Linked DNA regions of Solanum lycopersicum. The protein of the gene in region 2 interacts with the protein of the main gene of each other region in a pairwise test. Links are inferred from orthologs where the notes say so. Each region holds a gene or a part of one and is shown on either strand. Other genes may lie near its edges.

The links.
Region 1: the proteins of PHD-finger family homeodomain protein (region 2) and methyl-CpG-binding domain-containing protein 2-like interact in binary tests that used the Arabidopsis thaliana proteins (3 or more experiments, as listed by UniProt). The link is inferred for Solanum lycopersicum from reciprocal best matches to the Arabidopsis thaliana genes HAT3.1 and MBD02.

Annotation. Positions count from the first base shown.
Region 1 is NC_090804.1:62,074,686-62,079,837, forward strand, and holds the start of methyl-CpG-binding domain-containing protein 2-like, read left to right. Parts: upstream 1-1,875; 5' UTR 1,876-2,055; exon of another isoform or gene 2,056-2,157; intron 2,158-3,391; exon of another isoform or gene 3,392-3,422; intron 3,423-5,152. UniProt on the Arabidopsis thaliana protein: Probable transcriptional regulator.
Region 2 is NC_090800.1:91,031,255-91,036,441, reverse strand, and holds the start of PHD-finger family homeodomain protein, read right to left. Parts: upstream 3,283-5,187; 5' UTR 2,960-3,282; intron 1,853-2,959; 5' UTR 1,564-1,852; coding exon 1,097-1,563; intron 312-1,096; coding exon 146-311; intron 52-145; coding exon 1-51. UniProt on the Arabidopsis thaliana protein: Binds only to large DNA fragments. Recognizes a DNA fragment carrying 8 copies of box7 motif of the light-induced cab-E promoter of Nicotiana plumbaginifolia. Also recognizes the box7m1 motif.

The DNA of each region.
Region 1 (5,152 bases), on a different chromosome or scaffold from region 2:
CCCTTATTTCTTTTCTATTGCAATTTCTGGATTATTATATGATGATTTTTGAACTTTCCATATATAGAAAAGAAATAGAAAGAGATAGACTAGAAACGACATCTGTTATGTCAATGACACCAAAGGGATATTAAATGAATGGAATTGGGTCATGGTTTGAAATTGACTTCGTGATCTTATCAGTACATTATGATTATAAACTAATATTGCACCTGTTCATTTCTTGTTGAACATAGGGCATCTTTCGGCGGCTGATATGAGACCTTATGTAAGGAGTGTTAGACATCAAATCCAAAATGTGAGCTACTCTTCCAGGCTTCCATGGGTTCATCTCTACATTTTACTGTCCATGTTTTCAAACACGAACTTTTAGATTATTAGTTTTGTTTCCTAGTTTTCGGGGTTGCATCCCCATCCTATATTGAATAGAGTTTTGGTGCTACGACTTTCAATTTCTAAGCATTCATTTCGCAATTATTGTTACTTCTGATTGAGTTCCTATAAACTCAACTCTTTCATTGTATTAAATTATTTTTCTTTCTAGTTTATAGTATGACTTGGGTTTAGAAATGTTGTTTAAGTTAAGTTTTGGTTGGTTGTTAGTAAAGGTTAGTGTGGGTGTCACTCATGACAGTTTGAATCGTGACATATGAAAATACATATGTTAGGATGAATTTGAGTTCATATCAAATTAGATTAGATAAAGATGATCACATTCGCTAGAAGTTGCAAATAACACACATTAAAAATATAATGTGAGAATGTCGCTCGAAATGATTTGGAGTAATTCTGTGTTAATCTATAGATGCACCGATTTGTAGGTATGAAACTATAGTAAGTGAAGGTATAAAGAGAAAGTGAGTCGGACCTAAAAGAAAGTGATTGCAGTAAACATGTAATTGTTTGATATCAATACATGTTTAAATGAGATAGGACACAATGAAAAAGATCCATTAAGTTGTTGACAACAAGTTAAAGGATAGATCTTAAACTTGTATGAAGCTTTTATTATTATGTATATATATTTTAACATAGTCTTTTACTTCTTAAAATTGATTATGTTAATAATATAATATGAGCTCAAATGACAAATGAGGATTCAGATATCCTTATCTCAATTTATTTGGAATTGAGTTGTAGGTGATGATATTATTTAACTATTGTGACTCACAATATTTCTTTTTTCGTAATTTTAAAATATAATAAATTTTATATCAATTATTTTGAAAATTCTATATTCTAATTCAGATAAAAAATTAGCTAGTTTGACGCTTATACTCCGAATAAAGCGAATATTATTTTTACTTAATTCATATTGTAGGTGAGATTGATTGTTCTAATTTTATTTGTGATTGAGGTATTCTTGTTTTGAACTTAACAACCCTGGTATTAGAATACTAGTGGTAAAGTATCACTACATATAAAATGTTAAATTTGTCTTATCTTGTTTATGATCGGGATATCCTCGTTTTGAACGAAATAAATAGGGTTTTAGAATACCAATGGTAAAATTGTAAATAAACATGGAAATTGAGTTGATTGTTCTTATCTTGTTTATGATCGGGATATCCCTGAACAAAATGATTCCAATATTAGAATATCGTAATAAAAATAAATAAATATAAAAAGTGAAAATGATTGTTCTAATCTTATTTATGATTGGAATGTCCTAGGTTTGAACGTAACGACGCAAATATTAGAATATTATAGTAAATAAAATGTGAAATTAATTTTTTTAATTTCTATTATGATCGAAATATCCTCGTTTGAATGAAACGACACCAATAATTAAATATCTAGTGAAAATAAATAAATATAAAGTTAAAAAATGATTTTCTATTTCTATTTATGATCAGGATATCCTCATTTTGAACTAAACGACGCGAATGTTATAATATGAAGGTGGTAAAATAGTAAATAAACATTTTTATTTATTATTTTTATCATTTAGTTTTGCAATAAAAAGTTAGTACTTAAATTTAGCTGAGTTCTTCATCTCCGCCTGTGTGTCTCTCACTTCCCTAGGAGAACAAAGATATTGCAGTCTTTTAATCTGTAAGTAACATATATTTTCTTGCATACAACTCCAAAGGAATTTACCCAAAAACGTTGATTCTTGGATGATGCTGACTTAGATCCCTTTGTTTCTGATTTTGGGTATATCTCTTTTGCTCTATGGTTTATGCAATCTTTTTTTCTTTGTAAATATGTATAGCTGTGTTGAAATGCATGTGGATCGGGTTTATTGTTTTGATAAGTTTAGTGATAGATTCATTTGATTTATGTGAATGGGTTTCAATCTGTGTTATGGATTTTTTTTTTTTTGTCAAGAATTCAATTTAATGATTTGAGGTATTTCTTTGTTTGATTTTGTGTCATTTTTGTTGTAGGTATGTGATTTTAGAAATCAAAAAGGGTTAAGTATTTGAAAGTTGTTGATAAATCTTAAGTTTTTTTTTTTTTGTAAAAAAGGGATTTTTTTTACTTCTACATTTTCTGCCAATGCTTTAGTTTGATTGTTCTTGTTTTATTGGATTTTAGGTTCCTTCTTGGGTGAATATTTCTTCTCTATTTTTTCATGTGATGCCATTTTCTTTTAATTTGGAAAAATTGGTTCTACTTTGAATGCACATGGCCTGTGGAAAACTAGGGTTTTGTTTTCAATTTAGGGTTCAATAAAAGTAGGTGTTTTTATTAATAGAATCTTGAGTTTGTGGTCACTTAATTGCTATGCTACTCAAACTCTTGTAGGATCCCGTGGGGTGCGTGTTGGATACTCAAAATTAGTAGTTGTGCTCGGTTATATAAATTCACTACAGGATAAACAAACCAATTAAGCTACGTTGCTTGGATTCTCGAAATATGTTTCCGCATCTGCGTCGGATCCTCAAAAATAAGTGTATTTTTTAGGATCCGAGGCAGATGCGGCAATATTTTTGGGGAGTCTGAGCAACATAGTTTTATGGTTTGTTTTTTATGTTGTGAAGTTATTTAACCGAGCACAACTAGTTTGTGACTAAGGCATAGTTGTCGTTCTTCTTCATTGTATTTTAGGTGTTAAACTATTGTGTGTGCTACACGATGATGACATTCTCTAGTTCTGATAAAAACAATATGCAGATATAGAGGTATGTAGTTATTTTGCTGGGAATCTATGAAAAAATCCATTAGCCATCTGAACTAGTTGTTGAACTAACAACATATTCACCTAGTTCAGTTGCACGGACCAAGTGAATGTATAACTATTAGTACTATACAAACTGAAAAAGTTCTCACCTAGTTTAGTTTTTTTTTTAATCGTTATGTCCTCATCTAGATTAGTCGCATTCACTTAATGCGATCGAGGCGTTACGTCTTTAACAATTACTTTCTTACTCTTTTATCAGAAGGAGGAGCCGCTGATTAGTATTCTTAAGAAAAAGGTATGAACAACAACGGGAACCCAAATAGCTTAGCTAGCACATTGATACCTTTTGTTGTGTAGTTATTGTACCTAAGTTCCGTCAGCAACTGTATTCAAACTAGCATAACCACTCTACATATATTTTCAAACTAGAAAAGACGCTTTTACTTGGATGTAACTTGTCTATTACATTTGTTGTTACGCCGTGCTTTAACATTGAATAGTCTGCAAATCTGATACTTCCTTACTTTCATATATTTTCGGGAAGCTGAATGCAGGTAAAATGATTCAATGATATATTCAAATTTTTGATTTTACAAGTTACGTGAAAGGAAAGAGTTCACCAATAGCATTACGATTCTTTATTGTTTACAAGTTGCGTGAAAAAGAAAGATTTTACCAATTGGATAACAATTTTTTATTGTTTATCGTGCGCGAGATCACGTGTTACGATCAATCAATCATAATATGACCATTTATCAAATATAAATATCACTAAGTAGATATAACGTCCTTTCACCTTACCATTATCGTGGCTGACAGGATTGTTTATCCATACATTTCACCTCCCTCTGTGTTTCCATCAATTCGAATGGTCTTTAACTAATGTTTGTGTTAAATAGAAATATTTGTCTCACCTTCCTTTTCAACTAATGGTACACATTGTTTTCTGCGTATTGAACTTGACTTGATGTTCACTAAAATAAAATCAATTTGTGGCTCGTATTGATAGACTTCTTCATAAAAGTGTTTAGAAGAAAGTACTTTCTAAGATTGTAAAATATTAAGCATGTATAATTTTAACTTCTAGACAAGTTCTAATGTGATGATAGGCAGTGTTATCAAAGGCGGGCTTTAAGCGCGCTTAAGCCCTAAAGCGAGGCTCAAAATGTGTTGAGTGCTTCGCCTCGCTTTATGTGCGCTTTAGTGTCATCGTAAAGGTTCTAAGGCAAACATTTCCTCTTATGAAGAATTTGAGGTTAAAAATTGATACTTCACTTTATCATAATTGTTTTCAATTTCTTTGGTCATATATTTGTCATTCTTGTTTATAATTATTAGTCTTGGACTAAACATATATATTTTATTCTTTTCTCCCTTTGCGCCTTTTTTTTTGTTAAAGCCCACACTTTTTGCGCTTAAAGGCCCCACATACCGAGAGCTTTTTCGCGGATGTTAAGGAATAATTATTCTATCTTAAGTAATTATGTTTTCCAATGACATCTCAATAAAATTAGTAGTTTAAAATCAAATTTTAGTTAGAGATCTCAAGTATATATACAATAGCAAACAAAAAAATAATTTAGTGCAATTTTTTTATGTTTTCGTACTTGTTTTCAGTGTAGTATTCTTAACAACCATAATTCTTGTAACTTCGCATAGTTATATTATAATTTTGTATAGTAAGGACTAATTCAAGTTAATAAGATGTTAATCATGTGTTGCATTGCACTAGCTTGAATATTTTTGTGAATTATTTATTTATTAGTATGAAGATTTGAGTAGTTTAAGTCAAAGTTCTAAAATATTTATATTATAAAGTAGGTATATTTTTTACTTTAAATTTTGTACACTCTTTACATTCTTCAATATTGTCCAACCAAATAAAAAATAAGGGTGAGCAGCCCCTCATGTTCATGCAGCCCACCTGATGTTTGTTAGGAAGCTCTCCTTAGTGAACTTAGTTTTTGACATTATTGTAAGGAAAAATTCTTGAAAGATTATCCCCCTTGTGGGAGTGGCATCTCC
Region 2 (5,187 bases):
AATATCATTATCAGCTGGCAGATCCATAGAGCCACACTTCGCACAGAATATCTGCAGAAAAATAAAGATGCCTTAGTAATCCAGTTATCACATCATACCACCGTGAACACACCTAAAATTATAGCAGCCAACAAGCATATCCTACATCTTCACTGTCGATCTCCCCTTCATTGTCAAATAAAGATGCTGGAAGCCTCCCTTCAGCAAGTAATGTATCAAGGCGTTGAAACAAATCTCTTATTTTCAATTTGTAACGAAAAATATGAGTCTTCGCTCGTTGTAGCTCCTTCTCCAGCTTTATCTTTTCTAAGCTGCAAGAGTGTCGAGACCATAAAACCCAACAGTGACTTTGAAAAGTATGTTCTCAAAATTTTAACATAAATAGAAAATACAAGCAAGATAATTTTACGCTAGGTTAAGCAGGGAAATGCAATTAAGGGTTCAGGTCAAAGAGCTGATAATTTTATAGAAACAAAAACAATGCACTAGGCATATAAACATAAATATTCTCCCCGCCTTATGAATGTGACATGACGGGGTAAAATAGAATCAGCTTATTTGGGAAATAAAATCTAGTCGGTGCTAAACCCATTGCCCTTAGACTATGACAGATTTCAGCAAAGCACAATACAAATCTACAGGGTTAGTATGCTTACACCTGCTTCCTCCCAGTAAAGAGCAAGTAATTAGACCATCATACCAAAGCAACACTAATTTGGCATGAACAGCTTGAAAGTACTCTTTCCCAACTACTTTTTTTGTTATTGAATAAGGTAAATGATTTTATTGATATAGGAGAAGGCCAGTATACAGGCATTAACGTATAATATTTTAGAGTAACATCTCTCGGTTCAATAAACTAAAGTAACTATGCCTTTGTTCCATCAATATCAACCTTTTATACTGTTCAAACTTCAGAAATAGGAAATATTGATTTAAGCTAAAAGCTGCTATGAGTGTTCAAGTATTTGCAAGTCAGAAAACTGTGTACTACAATAAAGCTGCAATAAGTTATAGAAGATTGCCTTTTCCAACCTTCATTAAGCATTCATCAATTAAATTTACAGCATAATAATTCTGATAAAAGGTAACTAACCTTTGTCCTTTCCAGCCTTCACCAGAGTAAGCTTCAATCAAGGTTTGCTCATATTTTATTCTTTGTAATAAGTATCTCAGATGGCCCCTGATTCTTGTGAATTCGTTCGCAGCTATATGTTTACTGTGTTTTTTCTTTCTCCTTTTTCTTTTCTTTTCCTCGGTAGCATCATGAGTTACCACAGTATTTTTTGCCTCAGAAGCTCCAGACTTCTCCTTCGACTTCGAACGTAGAAGTCTAGTACTGCTAATTGGGGATCCTGAAATAGATTTTCTTTTTCTAGGCTGACCAGGTGATTTCTCTCGATATTCTGACTGATTAAGATTTTGAACTGTGTTTTCACATGATTCTCTTGATTGGTCAGCACCAAGATTCTCAGACATATTACCTGCTGATGCAGTGTGATGGCCCCCACCAGCTGTTCTTGCCTTTTCAGGTGACACAGATGTGTTTCCAAGAGTTGACATCTCGGTTTGATCTTCTAGCTGAAGTCTCGTCACTTCCCGATTGGCATTACCAAAAATGTCTTCACAAGACAGTCATCCTCTATGTAAATCCTACTATACCTGCTTTTCCACTAGTTAGTTTCTTCTCTTTATTTTCATCTTAATGACCTCTGTACTGAAGTTCTAAGTTCCCGCAGAGATGAATATTTCAGTGATACAAGATCACTAGAAATTCACTCTCTCAATTCTCACAAAGACCAAGGAGGGCTAAATTTCTTATACTCCAAACTGAAAATCCAATATTGCTTCTCTGACAAGAACAAAAAGAGAGGCATGAGCACATATATATCAAATCAAGTTGCAGTTATTTTTAAAAAAAAATAAGTTATACTTATTTGTACCAAATACTTAAATGTGTGAGTAAAAAAAATAGAAATGTTGATATGCGCTTAAAATAATGAGGATTAATGTTTGATACAATATTAGTTAACATTTCGTTGCTGGCATTTTCTCTAATGTGTACCTCATTGTATCACATACTACAGAGGCACTATTAAAAACTTATCTACTTTTGGCTAAACTTCATAAATGCAACTGAGCCAAAAAAAAAAAAAAGAACAGGGGCTAAATGATCTCCTTTTGAGTAATGAGGATATGTAGCACGAATAGATATCTGTTGAGAGTACTAACCTATAGATTCAAGTATTACACAAATTATTTATTCACTTATCTCCTAGCCTAAGGGTAGGAAATTCACTCTTTTTTTCTTTTTCTTGAACCTATTTGCTAGTCTATCCAAACCTTTATTTTTAGAAATTAATCTGTAAGAAAGAGGCAGACCAAAGCTTGAGTTGCAATTATACACCATATCCAACAGCCAATTCAGATTTGAACTCATCTGACTAAAGAGTGTTCAAGAAAACTCTATGCAACTATAAAGCTTTTACTTGAGCATTGAAAACTAAATGGACAAGACATTAGAGATTATAATTTAAATTTAGTTGCAAATGCATGAATTTAGTGTGATGTGTAAAATGCATCAAGTTTCCCCTTTTCTTGTTTCTACCCACATTTGGGCAACGATGCTTGCAATAGGTTAAAAGCAGGAAAACGGAACCTTAAAATACTTTCAAGATTAAATAAAGAAAACCCATGCATCCCTAAAGTTTTAACTTGAGCATTCAGAACTAAATTCAGGTGAGATTAAAAAAAAAAGAAGAAGAAGAAACACTAAGTAGAATAAATATAATAAATAAATAAAATCTAGTTGCAAATGCATGAATTTAGCGGAAAATGGAAAATGTATCAAGTTTCCCCTTTTTCTAGTTTCTACTAGATTTAGGCAAATGGGGGTTTGAAAAAAAGGGAAAAACGGAACCTCAAACTACTTTCAAGATTTCAAATTTTCAAGAATTACCTTTGTTTGCAGATAAAGAAATCACAGACAGCGAGAGTTTGAATTTAGAATCTGGGAAACTAGGGCTTCAAAGTGAATGTGTATTTTTGAGAGAAAGAGTAAGTGAGTGGATGAGAGTATGAAAAATAGGAAGAATGGCTGGTAGATAATTGGTGTTAACGAGGCTTTCTCTCTAAACCGATGGAAGATGAAAGCTCGTCGGTGCAGTTTTTGGTTCCCTTGAAATCAGGGTGCGGGCGGGGTGGTATTTTTCAAGCAATAGAATTTAACACTCACTTTTGCCGCGCCGCCACTGTTTCCCTCTCTTTCGCCTCACCCAAAATGTGACGCTTTTTTATGGGCTTAAGCTTGACCCAACTCTTTCTTATATAACTTTTTTTATTGGGCCTAAATGGGAAATTCTTTAATGGGCTCCAAGTGCATGAATCACCTCTAGACCAAAACGGGAAAAAAACTTAATGCAGTATTACATTGTATATGTGACCAAAACAGGAAAAAAACTTATATGCGACAACATTAATTATTATTGCACATAAAATATTTACCTTAATATCATATTTTATTAATATTCTCTATATTTTTACTTGTCCATTATATTAAAAATAGTTATTTAATAATATTTGTTCAATTTGAAAAATAAAGATATAATCTATTTTTTATGTCTATTTTACCCTTAATTAATATTAAATACTAGTTAGTACTCCTCCATTCCGAATTAATTGAATTGTTGAGGTGTTTCACACCCTTTAAAAAATAAGATTAAGAGTTTGTTTGACATTACCGTTAGAAATTGCTTGTTTTGAAAAATCATTTTTTAAAAAAATTGTTTTTGAAAGTAAGTAATTTGTGTTTGATTTATTCATTTGAAAAGTCTTTTTGATATGCAAATTGTGTTTGACTAATCTTTTTTTTAATAATGCTTTAGTGAGTCAAATTACGCAAAAGTGTAAGTATCAGTGTAATTTTATTATACTAAGATTACTTTATAGAAAGAAACTACTTTAAATATCGGTTAGAAATTTTTTAATGGAAATATGCATATTTGAATTTTCCATCAATATTATACAAAATATTAACATGATAACTTAAATATAATTCAAAATATCAAGAAAATAAATTTAAAAATTAATACGCAAATTAAACCACTATATACAAAAAATTCATCATAAAAATAAATAAAATCCTTCATATTTTTAATCCTACAAAATGTTGTTGTTACATTATTATATGATTCTGTAAATAATATATAAAATGTAAAATAATAATAATAGTATATAAACGTAAAATAAAAAATTATTATAGAAAAATAAAAAATAAAAAGATTGTATGAAACTTAATCAAATTTATGATATAGGTTAACTAATTAATAAGAGATAAATTATTTGTTGCTTCTTTTACTTTTTTTAAGAAGCTAAAATTTTAAGTTTCTTCTATCCCAACAGCAGAAAAGTTGTTCCTGCTATCATTTAAACGCAGTTTTGTATTTTACCAAACACTATTTTGTTAGAAAAAAAAATATATTTGACCTCCCAACAACAATGTCAAACAGACTCTGAGACACAAATTAGGCACATCATTTCATTTTATCCTTATTAATAATTATTAAATTTATGATTAAAATAACTCAATATTTACTATAATAATTAGTTTCAATACTAACACTGTGTTTGGATCATTGTTATCCATTATTTCATAATGTATTGTATTGTATCATACTCTATTGTATTGTATTGTATGGTAGATACAATGTTTGGCTAGATTGTATTGTACTGTATTATATGATAGATACAATGTTTAGCTAGATTGTATTGTTTGTTGTTGTTTAATAACATTTTAATTGTTTAGTTTGATTGTATCGTATTGTATTGTAATTTATAAATTTACTTAAATATCCTTAATTATTCTAGGATAGAGGGTTTGACTATATTTAAATAATTAAGGTAAAGGGTAAAATAGTATTTTGGAAAAAGAAATTAAGTAACAATGGGAACACACCAAATTGGTTGTTACATAAAGCAGGGGTTTCAATTGTTACGTAACAAAGAAAATTAACAATACAACACAATACATTTTAAGTAACAATCAAAACAAACATTATAGATATAGTAACAATACAATACAATGGATAACAATGATCCAAACATAGTGTAAGAGTCCGTTTGGATTGGCTTAATAAATGTCGTTTTTAAGTTAAAAATAAAAAGTCAAACTGAAATGACTTTTAAGTC